Linked DNA regions of Drosophila melanogaster. The protein of the gene in region 1 interacts with the protein of each later gene in a biochemical or structural test. Each region holds a gene or a part of one and is shown on either strand. Other genes may lie near its edges.

Evidence for each region.
Region 2: the proteins of Dif (region 1) and Rel form a complex in vitro, tested with the Drosophila melanogaster proteins (one study listed by BioGRID).

What each region holds. Positions count from the first base shown.
Region 1 is NT_033779.5:17,420,998-17,432,226, reverse strand, and holds the start of Dif (Dorsal-related immunity factor), read left to right. Parts: upstream 1-4,027; 5' UTR 4,028-4,571; intron 4,572-11,229.
Region 2 is NT_033777.3:9,040,458-9,053,141, reverse strand, and holds Rel (relish), read left to right. Parts: upstream 1-5,164; 5' UTR 5,165-5,706; coding exon 5,707-6,618; intron 6,619-6,914; coding exon 6,915-8,918; 3' UTR 8,919-8,959; downstream 8,960-12,684. Other genes in the region: Mst85C, read right to left, coding at 1,394-1,955, 2,015-2,181; Nmdmc (NAD-dependent methylenetetrahydrofolate dehydrogenase), read left to right, coding at 2,765-2,778, 9,503-10,290, 10,358-10,485; hyx (hyrax), read right to left, coding at 11,201-11,237, 11,300-11,441, 11,509-11,671, 11,831-12,684. UniProt on the Drosophila melanogaster protein: Transcription factor that plays a key role in the humoral immune response as part of the peptidoglycan recognition protein (IMD) signaling pathway.

The DNA.
Region 1 (11,229 bases):
AGGTTGTATTATTGGATATTATTATTGATTTTTTTTTTATGTTGAACACTTAAAAATGTACAAAGTAAACGACCTGTTTCCACCTGTTTCTGATTGAAAGTGTTATACCAAAGACACTAGAATAACAAGATGCGTAACGGCCATACATTGGTTTGGTTATACCGTGTTATTGCATCAATGTCATTTTTGTTATCTAGCATTCTATTAAAGGATGTAATTTAATTTTTTGAAAAATGAGGGGCGTTTACAAAATGTCTATTCCAAAGCCACAGAGCTGACCTTTGAACAATAAATTCACATTCCTGGACCGCAAAAAAGTAAGCAGCCATGCACAAAAGCAAATTCTATAAGACTTAACAATTGCATTTGCAATTGAGGATTCGCTTTCAGTTTCTGCTCCATTGAAAATGGCAATATGTTTTAATCCACATCGAGACCACACGACTCTTGCTTTATTAAACGCTGACACATTAATTAATTAACAGTGTTTGCTCTCTCTCTTGTTGTTTTTCTGAAGATGGTGTTGTTCTTCATTCCGTAAAAGACTAAAACAACAAAAAAGTAGTGTATCTCGCCATTTGTGTTTGCATTACCTAAACTGGTGAAATGATGGAGTTCGAGACTTGGGATCAGACAACCTTGATATGGTTACCAAAAAGATGCGTGCACAGGGAGAAATTTATTTAACCAAGTCAAGAAATCTCGAAATGCTAAGAAAGAGATATCATGTTCAATAAAAAATTTATGTACTAACAATTGAACTCAAAAAAGACTAATAACATTGTATAGTACCTAGCTTAAACAACAAAAATATATATTTTCGTTTAATAAAGTTATGCTTAAATTTTTTTTTACAAATTTACTTTACTTCTCTTGCACCTGCAAGAAACAGCATACCCCTGATTGGTAACAAAATCTGCACATTGCATGCGGAACTCCATCGCCTTGTAAACAACTCCTGCAGTTACCAATTATGTAATGCGGTGAGGCAGAGTGAGTGGACTGGGAACTGGAATGGCAATCCAAAATTTCCCACTCTCCGGAGCAGATGATCTCGGTGGAGCTCTCCCAGCGCTTTCCTCTCAGCAGATTTCCGCATGGGCAAACACCCAAACACACACACACAAACACACAAATAAGGCCCCAATTGAAAGTGATTGTGTGCGAGCGGCACAATTGTGTTTGGTGAGCCGCAGAAATTACGTATACGTATGTATGTATATAGGTGAGGCGATGATTCATCGACGATTCGGGGAATCCAAAAGCCAATCAAGTGCTGCAAAGCCAAAAGCCAAAGACAAGGCAGACGGACAGGTTTTTTGTTATAGCTTAACGTTTTCTTCTCTTATGCTTCGCAAAAGTTTTGCCAATTCGTAGAGTGTTTTCTTTCCGCCAAGCTTTTCAAAATAGTGGGTTTTAGAAAAGGAAATTACACTTTAATTAAGTGTCTTATTACTGACCGTAGATATACATTTCTAGCAATTAAATCTACCTCTCTTTTATTCGCTTTTGTTTGTTTGCTTTATATATATATCAAAGTACCTTATCAAATATATAACTCGTCATTATAGAATTTAGTGCAATTTAGCAAGTATATATTGACTGCAGAAGAGCATTTGAATTCGCTGAACTAGGCTGAGTCATTTTTTTGTATCATGGCTTTTCTGCTACTCAAACATTTCGAGTTCGTCGGTAACTTGGCTGTTCGTGTTATTGATACGGCTCCCCTTCGTCCCCTTCCTTTGCTTATCACCATTATTCGTCAGCCGAATGTCTTGAATGTTAATGCACTACGCGCTTTGTTTCTTTACCTCTTTTGAGGGCGGCGCAGACCTTTCGACTTAATTCAATCACTGTGAAAAAGCTGTAGATCTGTTTTCTATTTCGCATTTTTTAACACTATTCACCTTATAATAAATTATTTTTTTTAAATTTACATGCTTCAGGCATCTGATAAAATATGCCTTTAAAGAAAATGTTAAAATTAATATTTTAATAAAATACTAAACCAACAAATGCAACAAAATCCACTTTAGATATTATTTGTCACTTAATTCAATAGGCCATTTAATATCCAGAAATCTATAATCTTTAAGTGTTTTTTGTTAAGATGTATGTGCTATTTGTTTCTCCCAGTGCATATTTGGTGGCCTTAAACTGGCGCTGGCTGAAGAGGAGCAATAAAAGCGGCAGCAACAACAAGTGGTTGCTCAACTATGCGCTCCGCCGTCAAGCCCCCTTCGCCCCCTTCCACCCCCTTCCACGATTTCTTTGGGGCTTGGCTTTGTTTTTCTGCATTCTCTCTTCCTCGCTCTCTCTCTCCCTCTCGTTCCCGCTCACGCGCGTGACCTTGAAGCGCAAATGTGCCAGAATTGCAGGGGGAGTTGTTTGGGCGGGGGTAGAGTCTTTGACTTCTCCCCCTTTTTTTCTTCTCTTCTTCTTCGGGGAGCTTAATAAAGAGTTGGAGATTTCTGTGACGTCTGATATGTTTACTGAAAGTGGCTACTACGTCATGGGGCATTTGTCATACATGTATGGCTAAAAGCACAATCGCAACTAAAATCCTTCTACAGTGATCCCTAGCCATAAAGAGCAAGAAATTTTAAAATAATAGAATAAAAGTGTGGATTACAATTGTAAATTTGATAATAACATGTTCAAAAAGTTATACAAATTGTCGTACTATATTTTCATCTATATCTAAATATTCATATTTGCTCAATAAATTGCTAAATAAATAAATATCTGTTTTCCTAACTTAAAATTTCTCAAACCCCAGAGCTGAAATAGTTTAGTTTATTTTTGCACGTCCTGAGGTATTCTTGGCTTTGTTGCAATCCTATATAGATGTAAATTGCGGCCGGGAAATTTGCTCCCAAAATGCATTTTGTCCGCAGACGAGCCCACGCTACATGAAAACTGTGTTTTTAGTTCGAAATTTTCGTGGGCTAGCAGAAATAAATTATACTATTTTCATTCATGCACAACAATAATGAAATATTTCCACCCGATTGGCAATGTTAACTGCAAATATTTTTCCCCTACGTGTTTGGTCTGCACTTGTGTTTATTTCAATGACTAAAATCTGTCTATGGAACAGAAGCCAAAAATTGAGTTAATAACTCAGTTCGACCTTAGACGTTGGCGAATCTTTTTTCGGTCTCATTTGGGAATTTTGTTGGCGTGAATTAGCAACGTTGTATGGATTTTATAATTTACATTTGCCGAGGGTCGAACTCGTTTCAGGTCTGTCAATTCCTGGGAAAATCAATAAAAACATTCAGCTGTCATACCTATATTAGATAAATAGATCTATTGTTATGCATCTGGCTAATAGTTGTCGATTTTTTTCGGCTTCTCATTCCAGAATGGCGAATGATTCACATAAAGAAAAACTTTTCCTCCTATCTGATCTTATAATAAACCTTTGATCTTGATTTGTCCAGAAACCTGTGCACTATTTTAAACGAATTTTTAATGAGAAAAGAGTTCATGTGAAATAACATCTTAGGTATTTTGAATTTTTATGATATTTCCAAACCATTCATAACAATAAATTTTCATTCCCAGCAAAAAGTACACATTTTTTTGTAAGGGAATCAATGTTTACTTATAGCCGAAAATCGAAATTGGAACACCTGCAGAGCGTTATAAAAATCTCAACACTTTTCCAAATCCACTTAAAAATCTATAACCATTTTTTCTGCTCGATGGCGTCATAGGAACGCACTTGAACACAAATACATTAGAGAGAACGAAACATTGAGTACGCACAACGGAAATGAAAATAAATAAAGGAAAAGTGAAGCAGTTTCGAAAATAAAAACAGATATTGGCACCCTCCGTCAGTTGCGATCAGCAACCATCATATCAGCAGCGGTAACTTTTTATCACGTATACGTATCACGTATACGTATCAAGTATACGAACCGAATGCATGCGATCGCAGAGAGCGAACAGCTGAGAATGGAGCCTGAGCTATCGAAGCCATTCCGAAGCTCTCTTGCAGCCGAGTGTGAAGCGAACCGCTCAGTTTCAATCTGAACTTGGCCGCCGACGGACGTGAAGCGCCGACTTGTTCACACATAGATATCCATACATATATATATACATATAGATGTACATATAACGCATATTGTGCAAGTCGCACGCGACTATATAGCTGCCAGTGTATTGGTTAATTATACGAAGCACGACAACTACAACGTAAACTACAGATGTGTGTATAAATCAATGTCCGCTCTAAACAGGCGGCTGCAGTGTCAATAGCAAAAATTAAACAAAACTCAAAAGTAAAATACATGAGCGGAGCAACAACGTCGCTTGTGGGAGCAACTTTTGTTTTTGTTTTCAATTTCTTCATAATTTTTTTGGCGCGCCTTTTGTGAGTCGCGCGCGATAAGTCCGACACATAAACCGAAAACCAGTCAATCATAAAAGACAAATTTAATCAATTACACGTGTCAACACAACAAAGAGCTAATTCGATTTCTGTCTGACCCAGTGCATTCGGATCGAGAATCCAAATTTAATCAAGCATTTAAAGCAGCCTACCTACTACACCATAAAAGGTTAGCTATAATAAATTTTCTGAAACTATAGTCAGCTAGCTAGCTTAAGGCGTAGTTTGTAAAGTCCCCGGTCCAGAAGGCGGCTTTAGAAACTTAGGTACAGACAGCTTCCCGTGTCAGGTTCGATTGCAATGGCACTGCAAAAAACTACGTGCCAGCAACTCGGCGGAATTCATAAATTTTAATCCCAGATACATAAATAAGTACACAATTTTCCGATGCGGGCAATTACTTATCTAATGCCACGTGTAATGAAATTTGTATTTATTAATAGTGAAGTGAAAAACGGGAATACGGCCGGGTTCACTAGACTGCGTAATCGCAAAAAAAAACGACAAAAAATTTTAATTTTTAGTGTATTATTTTTATTTTGTTTTTTTTGTCCATGCGGGAAATATTTTAAATATTTTTGTGACTTCTTTAATCTACTTCCTGTTTGATTTGAACCTAAACACCCGAAAGATTATAGGCATAGCTATATCAATACATTAAATATAGACTTTGTGCAATACTTCGTAAATATTTATTAAAATATGGTATGTTTTTGCTTATCAGCAAATATATATTTCTGCTAGTGTAACTGCAGTTTTGCAACCCAACAGGCGTATAATATATGCAAATGAAAACAAGAAAGGCGGTTGACTGCGATTTATTAAAAGAGAATAACACTCAGTACGACATTTACTAGTAGTCCCAGTGTTTCTTTCTTGTTTTATTGGTCGACTACGAAAAATCATTAACATACTGGTTCAGATTTGTACATTTGCACATAACATATGCCGGAACTGCACCCTAGAGTAGACATTTCCTCCCAAGAGCAATAATGTATGCAATTATAAACATTATAACTCTTATCTCAAAATTATAGTGCCAAAGCTGTTTGTGACGTTTTCACATTTCAAGCTGTTGTATTGGAAATAATTTAGGCGTTGATATAAAAAATTGGAAGAATATAGCTACTCAGTTAGTCTTTAAATAACTTTCCAAATGTGAAAGAAAATCTGCTCAAGAGGAGCCAAAAAGAAGAGGAATTCAATGGTCAAAAAAAAAAAAATCGAAGCAAATGCAAATATTTATATTAACAAAATGTAAATATTTTTACAACTGAAATCGGCACGGCAAAAGTTTATAAAAATTTGCGGTGGCATCTGGAAGATTTCGTTTATTTCATTTGTAATCAAAGGAATATACAACCTGAACCGTGGAACTGAAACTGCAATCGAAAGACACGAAATGGCATAAAGTCTTTAAGACTTTTGCCTTATCCGCACGCAAAACATTCGGCCATTTGGCCGTTTCGGAATCCATAAAAATAGAATGAAATGGAACAGTCATGGTCAAAACTTACTCAAATATCGATTTATCTGCTCCCAGCCAGCAGCTATCTAACTTGTATTGGGCGATGAACCGATGATGCCAACGGCAGCGGAATTGTTTTCGGTAATTGTAGAAAATAAAACACAAACAAAGTCCGCACTTTTCACACCTTTTGGTCCATGTGTGTGCGATTGCTTACATACAGTATAAAGTCGCAGTCTAGCTATAACTTTGCCAATTGTATTAAGCAGACTTGTTTCCGAATTGAAAGTTATTGTAAATTAAATGCCAGCGGGAGAAGGAAGGTCACAGCCTGTACACACATTTGTGTGTAGGGTGCAAGTCTAATTGGTAAACAATTGAGAAACGGTCAAAACGATGAACTCTGGATAGAGCTGGTTAAATATATGTTGCTAAGAATTATCAGAAACCTTTGAATTACTTATTCTTTAAATTAAAATTTAAATTAAAATTTAAAGAATACACAATGAGAAGCTTCATGTAAGCTATAGTATTTTCACCCACCAGTAATCGATTCAAAACTATTTTTACTGTAAAATAATATAACAAACTTATACTAATTATGTTTGTTTTCAAGAGTCAATTCAGCTTGATCAGTTTATTGAATACTTGTACACTTTTTCGGAAAACCCAAGAGAGCAAATGCAATTGCTTTGAACTTATTTCAATTAACTGATAAGACTTGAACTTTAATCAGCAAGAAGAAAATCCCAGCGGGGCTTTATATTCTAGTCTCCCTGATAACCCGGCGTGAGATTGAGTACTATACCTTATATATATTTCTTTTCATTTTCCGCATGAACAAAAACCAACTAAACTTTAAAATGATCTGTCATTCACATTTACATCGCCAACCAAAGCCCAAGTTCTACAAACAATTCACGCCACCACACAATTTTACAAACAATGCGGGGAAAAATATAGCTGAATCCCATTACGCATACGCCATGTTGTACCGAATCTGAATTGATTGAATCGTGAAAAGTTTTATAGCAAAATAATTAAATGCTGCGGTTTCCTCCAATTTTCGGCCATCGCGTGTCGGTCGTTTTTCTTGGCTGAAAGCGAATGTACGTACGAACGATTTGTCTTGGCCATTAGAATGGAAATGGCTCCAACGCTTGGGTAAATGAGGTCTGGTGCGATGTGGTCTGGCTCGGCATTCTGGGAATGTTTTTGGGGTGCTCGGGCATTATTTACTTGACTGCAAAAATGTTTCCTTTGATTTGCTTGAAAGGCAATGAAAATCGATTGGCTGTACAATTTAACTTTTGACTGCAAATGGGTGGTGATGAGCGAAGCCAACCTAGATGTAACCGAATTAATTACCTTTTAATTAGTTTTATACATTATGATTTTTCAAGTAACACGGCACACAAAATAAAAATAGCAAACGATTCGAGCATTCGACCATTCAAAATTGCCCTAATAAAAGTTGACACCGTCGGAGATTATATATTATTTCGTGTTTATCGTTTTCGTCGTTGTACTATTTACTTATTTTCTTCATAATTGCTGTCAAATGTGACAAATATCGTTTTATTCCCATTCAAAGCTTCGAACTTTTAGCTCCTAACTTAGTCGAATTTGATTCATAATTAGCTGGGAATTACTTATTGATAAGCTTATCAGCAAAAGAAGCTTAGCCATTGGTTAGCGTGCCTTCATTAAACTGGAAGCGATTTAAGCTGCGTACTAAAATCAATTTTTGTATAAAAGATTATGGAGCTATAAGAATAAGAAGAAAAAGAATTTCTAAGAATTCGATTATGTTAAGCCGAAAATTATATTACGATAGAAACTAGCCAAATATTCGCTGAAGTTCTCCAAAATCATATAAAAATAACAACCTATACATTTACTATGTGTTTTTGAGGTCATAATAAGTTTTAAAATATCTGATTTATATCAAATAAGATTTGCATACTTTGCAGTAAATATTGTTTTACACCTGAACAAGTGTCATATAAATAGCATAGCCATCTAAAATGTTGTTTGCGTTAGCAAACAAATTCAATCGATTGTGACCTCAGTAAACTTCGGATCTAGGAGTAAACAAACATTAGTTATTTATATATGCCGTGCATATAGAAAGCCAAATGGATTTCCTGCAAATGACAGCGGGGGCATGGCCCAAGTGAAGGACACTGTCAAAGAACTAGAGGAAAATCATAATTTCCAGCGCTTATTGATTTTCCGGGGTTGGGGACGTTTGCCTTCTCTTCGTTTTTTTCATTTTCGACGACGACAGGCAAAATTGGTGCTGTGGAGAAAGTTTTTATTTGAATTTAATTTTTTGTGCACATACCGAATATAATGCAAGGCACTCAGGACAACGGCAGGACCAGGCAGGCACACATGTCAGCCTGCGTACTTGAGGTGCCAAATGGTTGAATCTTGGGGATGGATTGGGGCCAGTTGTCTGCGTTTGATGTTGAATTTTGTGTGTGCGACTGGGTGTGATTAGGCCATCGGTGAGTGAATGTCGTGTGTGTGTCTGTGTGTGTGTGCGAGTTTTTGGGATTCTAGCCATCCCATCTCATCATATTCCGGCAAAAGCACTCCCCCAGTGCCACCCATTCCATTATATTCTCCTATTTAGCTGTGTGTTTATTTTCGGTTCAGAACGCGATTTTCCAATCGATTGGGCACGTGACAAGGTTCTAGCTACTGAAATATGTGTGTGTGTGTGAGTGTGTCACATTGCCATCATTACTTTTCAGATAGATAGACGACGATCCAGCGATTCTATCGTAACTCAAAACCGACATTTTCATTCCCGATGACGTCTATTTTTGACAACATTTAATTAACAATTTCTTTTACCTTGCTCACTTTTTATTCGGCTGGCGACATCCTTTCTTGTTCGCTTTATTTATGCATCAATTTGTAGCTCTGATTTATGCCACCAGAATTTTTCCAACCCTCCACGTTCAGCCCCGTCCACCTCACTTGAGCCTAAATGCGAATTAAATTTGTGCGTAGCGGTTTTTTTTTCTTTTTCTCGTTGAGAGTTGGTAGCCCCGGCTGTCTTAAAGTATTATTCAGCTTAAGATTTTCCCAAATTGAAGAAGAAACTTGAAGCTAGACGAGAAAAATGGTGGGCGAAGGTCCTGAGGAGATGAACCAAGCAATTAGGCGCTTTGGAAAGCTTTTTGCGTTTGTGGCACTTAATGAAATCTAAAAAACAAATCCAAAGAGCAAGGCAAAAACGCTTTAAGAATATTGATGTTTGAAATATTTACATTTTTCGAAGATTGATTAAGAATGAAAAAAGGAAAAATAAATATGCTACAATCGAAGAGAATGTAGAAATCTCTTGAAAAGTTATTTTTACAATCTTTCCAATAAAATAAAGCCCAATATACTCATCTATACAGACCGCTTTTGACAAAATCTTTGTTTAAAGGACTAATTGGTAGACTTAAAATTCTATATTTATTTCCTTTGCGCCGGATCTAAGTCAATTAGCTTCCCCATTAGCCTGTTTTGCTATTTTAGGAACACTTTACCCTCAGGCCACTAATGACTGTCAGGATTAAGTTTTGGAATGGGGCTTAATGAATAAATTGCTCCTGATTGTTATCCATACTTTACTATATGCCCTATATTTAATGAATTTAAAAGTTTCTTGGAAAAGCCAATTTTACGTTCAAATTGCGTGTGTCACACTTGAGTTCCTTTATTATTTATGCCCATAAGCAGGACAATCGATACGGTTTAGCTTTTTGCCACCCCTTTTGCATAAAAATTTAAACGGTACCGCTGAAATGACCCCAATCACCCCTTCACGCCAGGACATCCTTAATGCTCGTCCTGTTGCCGCTTGTATGGTGGTGTGTGTAATGCTGTGTGTAAGAGAGATTAGCGAGTTGGGTAAAAGCGATGCTGCTGCTGTCAGTGGCAGTTAAGCCGCAGCTAGCGCCAAATACTTAAAAGTTTCCTGATGTCATTTGCCCCACGTCGTCTGCTACACTGAAGAAAAAAGTTGCGATACCCAAATTAGAAAATATATTTAAAAAAGAGTTCTAATACAATTTCTGTGCTTTAAAATTAAACACCTAGAGTATTCTTTTTGTAACAAAGTAAATCCTTACTGCCTAACTTGTTCTTTCATTAGGGCTTAAGCATATGAGAAATCCTTTTTAGCATATAGAAACGCGTATTTGTACAAATAATATACAAATTTACTTTATCTTTACTTAAAAGGCTCAATATTATTTTTCTTGTGGCCGCATTTGCTTATTACTCAGCTTAGATGTTCGACACACGTGAAGGGGGTTGACCGTCCTGGGGCGGGGAAGTGGGTTTTTTTTCAGGGGGTGGAGAGGGTGGACCTATAAAGCGTCATGCGGTTCGTAAACAAATTTAGAGGACATGCCCTCCTTGTGGAAGTGTGAGTGTAAGCAAGTGGTGTGAATTGCAAAAGAACCAAAACAGACAAAAAAAAAACAACACAATGACAGCAACAACAAAGGCAAATCCAGTGGCGGACAAATTGTTTTTGCAAGGCTATAAATGTAAACAAAATTAACATATGCAAATTTATCAAGCCCCCACGTGTGTGCGAATGTCTTTGTATAGGTGCCTGCACTGAACAAAATAACTAAGTGTTCAAAACAATGAACAACAAGTAATTAAAATTTTTCTTAATAAAACCTTGATGATTAGGAACATATATTCCTATTTAAATTATTAATTTAAGTTCTTAATCCCACCACTATTATATAAAATCTTTATAACTTTTTTAGAAAATTTTATTCTTTAAAAACTTGTGTTCGCCTTTTAAAAGTTTTTCGTGGCTTGATTTAGTGTTTAATTTTTAATAAATTAAATTCCTTAAATTCCTTTTTTTTCGCGCAGTGTTTTCGTATGCTTGTGTGCTCGACGCCAATGTTTGGCATTCAGACAAATAGGCTGTCCCAAGCGATGACTTCTTGCTGGATTTTATCTCTCAGTGCTCGAGTGTGTGTTCTTCTTTTGTTGAAAAGTTGAGTTATGTGCAGAAAATGCAAAATACTTTCGGCATGTGTTGACTGCAGTGCCGGAATGTAGAGCGAAATTGGGAAAATGTGTCTCAGAGAATGACTTGTTTGGCCTTTTTATAGTCTACGGCTATTAAATACACATTACACCGACATTGTTATTATCCCCAACAAGCGACTAACAATGATAACCTTGATCGATGCGACAGTAGCTGTTTTTTGAACACATACCTACATAAAAAAGGACGAAGGCTAAGGGAAATCGTTAGTGGTAAAGACATATGCTTGACTTCATTATAAGCCAAGGACTCTGAGCTTACAAGGTCCATACAACT
Region 2 (12,684 bases), on another chromosome or scaffold:
TGCCGCTGCCCAGAGGCTCCACCACTGCACTGCAATGAGAGCGATGAGAGGGAGAGCCGCGAAGAAAGCGGAAAAACAAACTAGAGTGGTGAGTTCGACTCCGGCGACGCGTACTCGAAATACTCCCTCTCATTCGTGCATCGGTCAACGTGATGTTTTGCCATTCAACACACAAAAAACGCTCACTTATCACGCTCCACGTATATTCGCCACTTTCCCATGAACTTGTAATAAGAATTCTAAATTTGCACTTCGCCTCGTATCTAGTTTTTGTCAGATTTCCGCCGCTGCGGATGCGATTTGAGTGCTATATGTGGTGGTGGCTCTGCCGTTCGCCTTGCTTTTGTTCTGATTCGTCTTCTCATTCTCCGAATTACAATCTTTTCGCTTGCGCCATGAAGTAAATTATAATTATAATTCATACGCTGTCAATGTGGGGGCCGTTCACTAAACTTTTCACAGCACCAAAAACGCACACACTCTTATACAAGTGTGTATTTTAAATAATAATTACCAAATAAACACTTATTTAAACGGATTTCTGGGCAATCCGCACTCGGACGTACTCGATTTTTTCCGTACGCGAATCGCTGAAAAATCCAGCAGCGCTGCGATCCGACCTCTCTGCTGGTTTTTTCAATATGACGGCAGTTGGCCAACACCAATGTTTCAGTGGGACCGCCCTGTCCAAAAATACCAAATACCAAAGTTCAATATTAAATCATTTTAAACAGTCATTTAAACAATCAACCAGTTAATTTAACGGAAAACTAGCTCGGCAAAATTAAAAAATATATAAATGTTATAAATGCAAAGAGGTTCTTACAATATCGGACTTAAGCATTCATAATTTTATGTCTATTTAACATTTTGCGTTATTTGTTATATATATAAGATCATACAAAGTTTTGCTTACAGTTTTATTCTTTATTCTTTATCAATTGCAAAAAATACGTATCTTTCTAATTTTAGTAGCCAGCAAAGAAAGGTCGATTCCAAAAACGCAATGTAAAGTATATTTTAAACAATATGGTAGATTCAGCTCGTTCGATCCACTTTACTGCAGAAACTCATATACTGTAAAAAGTGCTTATAAATTGATGTAAAAAGTAAAATGAATTAGTTCATCTTAGAAAAACTTTTCTTAAGTCAGGTGTTCGTTTGACGTCCGCCGTTGCGTCTCTCGAAAGTTATCTGTTCTCGACTCACTTGCTTCAAATAACGAATATTCCGGAACATTCCAGATTGAATCACATACATCTATCTATTTTCAATAGTAATAAAAAAATAAGGAGGCGGAGTATTCTTGCATGCTATCAACTGGGTTCTTACGGTTACGGACATACAAATCTACACTTTAATGCTTATGGTTTAGGGTTTTATATGGCTATCGCTACAGGTCTTCGTCCATGTGCTCCTGCTCAGACTTGTTAAGATTCACGCTGCACGTGTTGTTGTTCTCGAAGAACTCCAGATCGTCATCGTAGTCATCCAGCTCCTGGACCGCCGGTGCCGCAGCCATGGGTGCCACTATTTGGGGCGACACCATCTTGACTTCCGGCATCGGCATCGGCATCTGCAGTGGCGAAGGCTGCCAAGGGACCAAGGCGGTGCAGGGACGTGGTATGGACTTGATTAGCCACTCCGGTGGTATTACAGGTGGAGCGGAACCGGGACCCGATCCTGGCTTAAGGCCATCACAAATTACGATGCGATTGGCATTGCGCAGTTTCTGCTCCAGTTCCATGGCCGCCATTTGATAGGCGGGATTGGGGTGGTGGGTCTTCCCGGTGCTGGTGGATGGTATATCATCCGTGGCCAGTCCGCCCGTAACGCTGGCCACGCTGTTGTTGTTGCTAACAACGGCCGTGGCGGCGACATTGATCTTCGGATCCAGCGATAGACCGCTGAAATGCTGGGTGATCCTCTCCTCGGTTATAAGCATTTTGGGTGGTCTGCAATGAGTTCTGTGGTTAGTATTTTATGTGGATGTTGTGTTGAGGATATAGCTTACAGCACTGCCGGTGCCGGCTGCTCGGATTTTCGCTTATGCTGCCATTTTACCAGATCATTCTCCACCGAATTGCCGAAGGTGCTGCAGCTCCCGAATCCGAAGTCCATGATACCGCCCGGAGGAGGCGCATTGAATGGGAATGATTTCCGCTTGCTCTGGGGCTTCATCGCCAGTCTGTGGGCATCAGAGATGCAGTTGCGTGGGCAATAGTTATGCAAAGGAATGGTGTTCAAAATTGCAATGGAGATTGGATTTGCGACTTCTTGTTTTCCTTTTCACTGCAGTGTGGCCAGATGGCGTTGGCATAAATAAACCAAAAAAGATGCATCACACTTGCACTGCTAAGACACACTCAAACGTTAAGCGTTGAATTTACAACAGTATCAGATTATTCATACAGATAAAATTGTACGTGCGCAGCATTATCTTCGTTTTATTCTTGGTTATTGAGAAATCTGCAATTTGTCTACCCCTGAAATATTTTAATCTAAGGCCAATTTCGAAATTTCGAACTAGAAAGGTACTAAAAAATACCCGTTTTAAGAGCCATAAAAAGGGCTGCAACGCGCTTCTTTTAAATATTCCAAAGCGACAAGTGTGAAACCAAGTTCTTTTATAGAATACTTTAAACAAAAAGTGTTGCAATATTTAACGAGCTTAAAAGTATATTAGTGCAATAAACTCTAATAGGACATCAGATATTATTCAACAGATCAAACGTTTTCAGTTATTAAAAGAACTCGATTCAAAATGCGATTCACAAGGTGAGTTTTTGAAATCCGTACTTTGTTACATCTCCATTATTCATCGAATATAGCTATATATTAATTATGCCATGTGCTTCTCCTACAAGCATTTTTAGTTCTTAATTATTGTTTTGAAAACATGAGTTACAATGAAAAATAAAGGACAAAACATTTTCTTTCTGAAAACTTCGAAAATAGTTCTATAGCTTAAAACAATTTTGACAATAAATTCACAATAATTTTCTATCACGCATCCTTGGGACACAAATTTGTAACGACCAGAGAAAGTAAAATGCTCGTCGAAATATTCCAGTTGTAAATTAAACAAGCTTGTTAAAGCATGACTCCCATTGGGCAGCCCACTCGCACTTTCCACGGGGGTTATCTCCGTTCGAAAATAACATGTTTTTCAACCCAAAACGGGAGCAATCATCGTCCGCGAACAACATTGTTAATGACGCCTGCATTGTTTTTCCTCTGGCTAAAAACAAAAATCGCCAGTTACCAGGCGTTTGTGCATCAATTCCATAACTTATGGAATAGGTAATGGGTGATCAGAGGGGGCTGAACTCAAAGGCTTATCAGTGGGAGACGTTGGTGGCCCCCTGTGGAGCAAATTGACGTCACCGGCCAACAGAATCCAACTTAATCTCCGAGTGCAGTAATCGGAAATCAGATTTCGTCATCCGCCGCGTCGAAGAAAAACAAACTATTGAAAAATAACTCGTGTCGGAAATTTTAGAACAGCAAATATTCCCAACCAAAATCGTAATCATGTAACTGGTAATAAAAGCAACAAAAGTTGTTCTCCACGTCTTTAAGAATTTCCTAAATAAATATTTGTGCACACAAGGCGAACTTTTAAAAATTTTCATGTTGAGAAAATAAAATATGTTCAATATGTGTTTAGCTATTTTCCGCGTTGTTTCAAAATCGAAAATCCATATATGCACATATGTATTTGTTCCGTTTTAAGCCATATTTATATGCACACAGTTCAAAACTTTTATCGACAAGTGTTTAAAGCTTTTAAGTCGCGCTCGCTCGCACACGCATATTTAGTGCGCTGAACCGAAAAGCTTTTATCCAAAATATACAAACACGTGCGAGGCTCATTCAGTGATCTGTTTCGTTCTATACAGTCCATCGGTATCCGACAATCAGTGCAGTTCGAATTTTCCACCAGGAAAATTTCGCAAAAGCCAACAAAAGAAGTCACAATAAGGTATGCTGCTAGTGAAAATTGGCTAACAAAAATCCATAAAAAATACATAATTGACCTTCAAAGAAATTTGAATAGGCGTTCTTAAGACACGTTTGCTTTTATCAAGCCAAGAAAACGAATTTTCCTTTGTCCGCATAAAGAGCTAATTTTGTAGCCTGCCTATTAATAACTCTAGTCTAGACGCAGACTAGTGGTTGCAAAGTCAAGACCCCGATTTGTTTATGTTTTTCCTGCTAATTGATTATCAATATAAACAAACTCATCGTCAACTGATAAGGTGTAAAAGCATTTACACACACACACCCACACACCTTGGCATGGTAACAAGAGTAAGAGAGGAACGGCGAAGTGAGAAGATTGATTAACACATCAAAAAGTGCAAAGGGATCGTAAATACATACATATATACTCTAAGTGCAGCCTGGCAACAGATCAGCTGTTTCTGCGTGAGTGTGCGTGTGTGTGTGCGCGGGTCCAGTGGGAGTGGAAACCGACTGAATTGCAAATTAGTTCAGTGGCGCATGCTTATGTAGTTTTTTTTTATCATTTAGCACAAGTGTCTTAGGATAAAAGAACATTCCGGTGTTTTAAATTTTCCAACCATGTTGCGACGTTCTATAGGATCCATTTCGGTCTTGGCTTCCCGGAATTACGCCGGAAAGTCTAACTTCAGGTGTGTATGCTCATAAGAAAGTGAATCGGGTCCGAAATAAAACGTAATATCATACGAAGAAAAACAAAGCGTGCGCTAGAGATGAGTGCGTGACGAAAGTGAATTAAGGGAAAAGCCAATGGAAAGCGTAAAAATATATTATTAATAATACTAATATTCGGTACTTGCATTGCATAATTATTATTATTTTATAACACAGTTATAAGTTGTTACGCCGGTTCTCATTATAAATTTGTATTAAAATTCCTTATATCTTTATATTTATATAAGTGTTGTATTATTTATATTAATATTTTGTATTATATACCTTTATATCTTTTTGTCGAAATAGGTTAAATTATATTTATAAAAATTAATCAAGAATAATGGGAACAAACAATCGCGTACGCTTCCATCCCTAGATTTGTAGAACATCTGATTGGGGCGTTGCCACCCAACTCGTTTTATCTGCCGGTGGCAGCTCTGCCTTGTTTTTATTTTAGTGTGCGCGGTGTGTTGAAATCAGGTATTCAAATAAATGAATTTGAACCGTAGTTTCCGTGAAAAGCTGACCCGAAAGCTCGGCGCAAATAGCTTAAACCTGTTATCAGGGCAGCGAGCGTTTTGCTCGCAACTCGTGAGCGATACTACTTGTGTTCGCGCAGTGCTTCGTTCATTTTCGTTCCAGCAGTGGCGCACTAAAGTTCCCCGATTCGCTGCGTCGTTTTTCCATAAATTTGCATATATGTATTAGTTGGGTGGAATACATATAAACAGTGTGATTTCGCTCTGTAAACAACAACCGCGAATCCAGAATTCCGTACATGCTTATAGTATAGCCGATCAAAAAAATCACACTGAGTGGTGCGCCAGAAAAACCCGTGAGTCATCTCGACGTGGCCGCCGCAGATAATTTCCCATCCGCCGAACATCGGGGAAGTACCTAAAACGAATGGTCAGCCATCGGCGGAGCTCGTTTCGATCATTAGCGTTCCGATCGGCGAAGGCAGCGGATCACTTTTGAGTTGTTAAGACGCTATTGATCAGAAATATTGGATTGATACGGACTATGAACATGAATCAGTACTACGACCTGGACAATGGGAAAAATGTGATGTTTATGAACGATGCATCCAGCACCAGTGGCTATAGCAGCAGTACATCACCCAACTCCACCAACCGATCCTTTTCACCAGCCCACTCCCCGAAAACCATGGAACTGCAAACGGACTTCGCCAATCTTAATTTGCCCGGCGGCAATTCACCACACCAGCCGCCAATGGCAAACTCACCATACCAGAATCAGCTGTTGAACAACGGCGGAATTTGCCAATTGGGTGCTACCAATTTAATAAACTCCACTGGCGTTAGTTTCGGCGTTGCTAATGTCACCAGTTTTGGCAACATGTACATGGATCACCAGTACTTTGTGCCCGCTCCGGCCACTGTGCCACCGTCCCAAAACTTTGGATACCATCAAAATGGCCTGGCATCTGACGGCGATATCAAACACGTGCCGCAGCTGCGGATCGTTGAGCAACCGGTGGAGAAGTTCCGCTTTCGGTACAAGAGCGAGATGCATGGAACACATGGATCGCTAAATGGCGCCAATTCGAAGCGGACGCCCAAAACCTTCCCGGAGGTTACACTGTGCAACTACGATGGACCCGCCGTCATCCGGTGCAGTTTGTTCCAAACTAACTTGGACAGCCCACATTCCCATCAGCTGGTCGTGCGCAAGGACGATCGGGATGTGTGCGATCCGCATGATTTGCACGTGTCCAAGGAGCGCGGCTATGTGGCGCAATTTATCAACATGGGCATCATACACACCGCCAAGAAGTACATATTCGAGGAACTGTGCAAGAAGAAGCAGGATCGCCTGGTCTTTCAGATGAACCGCCGCGAGTTGTCCCACAAACAGCTACAGGAACTGCATCAGGAGACAGAGCGTGAGGCCAAGGACATGAACTTGAACCAGGTGGGTAAACCAGCGCGTAAACAATATCGAGTTGCTTGCTTCGATGAGGTGAATATGCACGTTTGCATTTATTATTCACACGTTTAATTGCTCACTTTAGAATGCTTTAGTCAATTAATTATAGGTTGCATTTGCTACCTTTTAATCTTTTTATTTAAGCAGTCTGTAAAGTATCTACTCGTTTAGCTCGAATTATATAAATTTCTCTGCTAAAATAACTGAGCAATATAACATCGAAGCAATTAACTTACTGAAAAGCAACAAAGAACTCACTAAAAAAGTAACACCAACTTTAGGTGCGGCTCTGCTTTGAGGCCTTTAAAATTGAGGACAACGGCGCATGGGTTCCACTTGCACCGCCTGTATACAGCAATGCAATCAATAACCGCAAGTCGGCACAAACTGGAGAGCTTCGCATCGTCCGCCTGAGCAAACCCACTGGCGGGGTGATGGGCAACGATGAGCTTATTCTACTGGTGGAAAAGGTCAGCAAGAAGAACATTAAAGTGAGGTTCTTCGAGGAGGATGAGGACGGGGAAACCGTGTGGGAGGCATACGCAAAGTTCCGCGAATCGGATGTACACCACCAATATGCCATTGTGTGCCAGACGCCTCCGTACAAAGATAAGGACGTGGACCGCGAGGTCAACGTGTACATCGAGCTCATTCGTCCCTCCGACGATGAGCGCTCATTCCCGGCGCTGCCCTTCCGCTACAAGCCACGGAGCGTAATTGTGTCGAGGAAACGCCGACGAACCGGGTCCTCTGCCAATAGCAGCAGTTCGGGAACAGAAAGCTCTAATAACTCGCTGGATCTGCCCAAAACGCTGGGCTTGGCGCAGCCACCAAATGGCTTGCCAAACCTTTCACAGCATGATCAGACTATAAGTGAGGAGTTCGGACGCGAAAAGCATCTAAATGAATTTATTGCTTCCGAAGATTTCCGCAAACTTATCGAGCACAACTCTTCTGATCTCGAGAAGATCTGCCAGTTAGACATGGGAGAGTTGCAGCACGATGGTCATAACCGGGCGGAAGTGCCATCGCATCGAAATCGTACAATTAAATGCTTGGATGACTTATTCGAAATTTACAAACAGGACCGCATATCGCCAATAAAAATCTCGCACCACAAAGTGGAGAAGTGGTTTATCGAGCATGCTCTGAATAACTACAATAGAGACACGCTCCTGCACGAAGTGATCAGCCACAAAAAGGACAAACTGAAGCTGGCCATCCAGACGATACAGGTGATGAACTACTTCAATCTGAAAGATGTGGTCAATAGCACTTTGAATGCGGACGGTGATAGTGCCCTGCATGTGGCGTGCCAGCAAGACCGAGCGCACTACATACGACCTTTGCTGGGTATGGGATGCAATCCAAATCTGAAGAATAATGCCGGAAATACCCCACTGCATGTGGCCGTCAAGGAGGAGCACTTAAGCTGCGTGGAAAGCTTCCTTAATGGAGTGCCAACCGTACAATTGGACCTCTCGCTAACGAACGACGATGGTCTGACGCCTTTGCACATGGCCATTCGACAGAACAAGTACGATGTGGCCAAGAAACTGATCAGCTATGATCGGACCTCGATTAGCGTGGCCAACACAATGGATGGTAATAATGCACTCCACATGGCAGTTCTGGAGCAAAGTGTGGAGCTATTGGTGCTCATTCTGGATGCCCAAAATGAAAACCTTACCGACATCCTGCAGGCACAAAATGCAGCCGGCCATACTCCCTTGGAATTGGCCGAACGCAAGGCAAATGACCGGGTGGTCCAGCTGCTGAAGAATGTGTATCCGGAGAAGGGAGAACTGGCCATGACCTGGATTCCATGTAAGGTCAAGGAGGAGATCGATTCATCGTCGGACGAAAGTAGCGATGCTGGTCAGCTGGAGATCAAGTCCGAGGAGATGGACATCGAAACAAAGGACGAGGATTCCGTGGAGTTGGACCTAAGTAGTGGTCCAAGAAGACAGAAAGATGAATCCAGTAGAGACACCGAAATGGACAACAACAAATTGCAGTTGCTGCTCAAAAACAAATTCATTTACGACCGGCTCTGTTCGCTGCTGAATCAGCCTTTGGGACATGGGTCCGATCCCCAAGATCGGAAATGGATGCAACTAGCCCGCCAGACGCATCTGAAGCAGTTCGCCTTTATATGGCTGGGCGCGGAGGATCTGTTGGATCACGTGAAAAGAAAAGGAGCCTCTGTAGAGTTTTCCACATTTGCTCGTGCCCTGCAGGCAGTGGATCCACAGGCTTACGCCCTACTGGTTAACCCAACTTGATTATGTATTGAATGTTGATCAATAAAGTACCTTAGTTTTACAAATACTATTCTCTTGTGGAATGAAAAATACGCGAAACTAGGATGCCTGGGATAGCAAGCTTTATTTTTAAATATCAGAGCATTAATTTATTTTCCTTTATTAGCATTTATTTAGTTTCCTTTATTATTCCATGGAATCTATTCTTTAGAATAGTTCTATAAGCAATCTAAACTTGTTCCCTCAAACAATTACCATCGGCGCCCTGCATGAGATCACTAGCAAAAGGGGATCCATCGATAGCTCGGCATTAAAAAGTACATTCTAAGAATGGGGAATCACTAATTTTTCATTGCCGCTCGCGCACGCCGCTTGGTAAACAAGTGGGTGAATCATACATGTACTTATGCGCCTAAGTGTGTGTTGTGGGGGAATTACTGTTGCGTAACTGCAGTGACAGGCGGGGATTTACCGACAGCCCTTATCATTCCCGGTTTATGACCTTTCCTGCTATATTTTTTCAAGAATATCGCAACTAAATAATGTTTTAAGGAATAGTACAGTGTAATCTCATTCAATTAAATAATATTATGATCGCATTCCAGCAACATGGCTCAAATTATCGATGGCAAGGCCATAGCCCAGGAGGTGCGCACCCAACTAGCACACGAGCTCAAGGGAATGGAGGCTGCTGGCTATCCGAAGCCCCATCTCACGGCCGTCATTGTGGGCGAGGATCCGGCTAGCGAGAAGTATGTGGCTAACAAGATGGTCGCCTGCCGGGAGGTGGGCATCTCCAGTGAGACCAAGAGATTGCCCGCCTCTACCACGCAGGAGGAGCTGCTGCAACTGATTGCCGATCTGAACAAGGATCCCCAGGTCACGGGGATACTGGTGCAGCTGCCGGTACCCGAGCACATCAATGAGCGCACCATCTGCAATGCCGTCGATGTGGACAAGGATGTGGATGGCTTCAATGAGGTCAACATCGGACGCACGGCTCTGGACATGGAGGCCAATATTCCGGCCACGCCGCTGGGAGTCAAGCGACTGTTGGAGCATATGAAAATCGAAACTCTCGGTCGTAACGCCGTTGTGGTGGGACGCTCCAAGAATGTCAGTCTACCGATGGCAATCTTGCTGCACGCGGATGGCAAGTATGCCACCAAGGCAATGGATGCCACGGTGACCATCTGCCACAGGTATACACCGCCCAAGGAACTGGCTCGCCATTGCCGCCAAGCGGATATCATTGTGGTCGCAGTGGGAAAGCCGGGTTTGATCACCAAGGACATGGTTAAGCCCGGAGCCTGTGTCATCGACGTGGGCATCAACCGCATCAAGGATGAGAGCACTGGCCAGTTTAAGCTGGTCGGAGACGTGGACTTTGAAGGTGTGTGGCTGATCTATTAAATCACTAAAGACCAACAAGATTGATTCATTTCCTCATCACTTTGCAGAAGTTCGCCAGGTCGCCGGCCACATCACTCCTGTGCCCGGCGGAGTTGGTCCCATGACGGTGGCCATGCTGATGCACAACACGCTGAAGGCAGCCAGGAAGCAGTTCGATGATCGCAAGTCCTCCTGAAGATTCACCAGTAACTATCGTGCTTCGCTGGCCGAGAAATAGTATTTTTATTTAATCCCCTAAACCTATATTAGATAGTAAAGTTACTGACCACAAGCTAACATGACATAAACCCACATATTTTGCTATATAAACAGAAATAATGAAATACTACTATTTCGTTTGATTTATGACTTTAACGATGGGAGGTATGAAAAAGTTCCAATATATGATCTTTGAAAAGGTTAAATAATTGAGAAAATATACTTGATGACAGCCAAATAAATTCCAATTATGTTACCTTCTGTTTGAATAACCGAAACAGAATGGCTTTTAACTGTTTATTATCACTAAAAATACAAAGGATACTTGCTCTCAGATGTTTGTGTTTTGTAGTTTACATTGTACAATTTGAACGAAAAACTTTATCTTAACTACTAACTGCGTATTTGGGCCTATTTGCACGATCGCAGGCCTGCGACTTATAATGCTGTTGCCAAAAGCGAGATAATCCTGGTCGGGCTCTAATCGGAAACTCGCACTGGAACTGGCCAAATGCCCCAGATTCGGCTTGGTGTCTTTCCTACGGAAGTTGGGCGCACACTGTAACATACTATTTGCGTCGTTTGTTGCATAATGTAGTACAGCCTGTCTATAATAATGGTAACTACTTGGGAGTGGGATTGAAAACAGCAGGTGTCGTGTTTCAGCAGAACGTTTAAGAATGCGGTGAGGGTTAATATCGTAAATCGGGCTTGTACTTGGCTATATATCTAAAAAGATTGCATTGTAAATCTTTTGTAACGAAATGGTGGATTTTTATATAAGCACTTACTTGTCCAAAGTTTCCCAAAATTTGCTGAGCACTGCCCGATCCATATGACGCTTGTTTTGCGATAGTCGGAGTAGCGTCACTGACCAGCGCTCCACGTTTGAGTCCAATTTCATTTCGCTAAAGCACAAATGAAAAGCGCAAACTGCAGTAGGTAAGAAAATGAGACTTAGTGAATTAAACTTAGAGAGCTGGGCATGATGTTAACTAACTTTTTGAGAATATATCGACGGGATTGCCTTCCCAAGGCCAGCCCTTGAACTGCCACTGGGGTCCCATAACGAAGACGGCCACCACCCGTTGCCACTCCTGTTGCGAGAGCTTGGTGGGATTATCTATCACCCGGTAAGACACAGTCTGATTGTTGCGTTTTCGCTATGTGTGAATAAAAGGGAAAATAAATTAGCACTGGTGTATGCCAACTCTTATCTTTAATATTTTAATAGGAAATTGAATACATCTTCGGAAACAAATGCTGTAAAACCTTTTGGTATATAAACCATTTGGAAGAGAATTCGTTACATTAAATCGCACCTGTAACAGCACTTCGCATTCGCGCTGGCAGCCCTGCAGCTTTTTATCCGAGGTGGACATGAAGCGCAGTTCCTGCAGGATATCCTTCGCGTTGAGCATGGTAATGAGGCTTGTGTTGGCAGACGGTATGATAATAATGGGGGTGCGAGATGTTCGCTTCGATGGACCATTGGCGGGCAGTTGCCGAGCTTGGGCCGCAGGTAGCAATTCCTTGGGCCGCCCGGCGGCTGCTCCCGCTATTACACCCGGTGCTCCCGGTAGGTTGTTAGCCTGCGCCTTACGCTGAGCCAGTGAGCCCTCCGTCACGGATTTCAGCGACATACCGTGGTATGTGCCGAGCGTGTCGATCTTAAAGCCCTCGGTCTCCTCCTTTTGCCGATTGAAGCGCTCCTGGTCGTAACGGTTGTATTGCGAGAGCTGCGGTTGTGGTTTGGCTATTCGAGCCGGCTCCGGCATCTTAATGGGATTGGGCACCTGTGGACGATTGCGTCCCTCCTCGCGCGCCTTGATGCCCTGAAGCATAGCAAAGATGTTCTTGGCAAAGATCTTGCCCGTGCTTTGCAGAATCGAAGTTCGCGTGCGCCACTGCCGTTCTCTGCTGATAATGTCCTTTGTGGAGTCCACATCATAGTCCAGGATGGCACGCAAATCAGTTCCCATGGCCTCGTCATTGTCCGTCCTTTTAATGGTCGTTCGCTTGTTGGCCAGACGCTTTGCCTTGATGGCGGCGATCTTCTCAACGGACATCGTCTCGGACAGCGACTTGATGTTGTCCATGTTGACAGCGGTCTCCTTCTGGTTGACATCCCATCGGGCGGCCAATTGCTCGCGCACCTTCTGCACTTGAGTCTCCT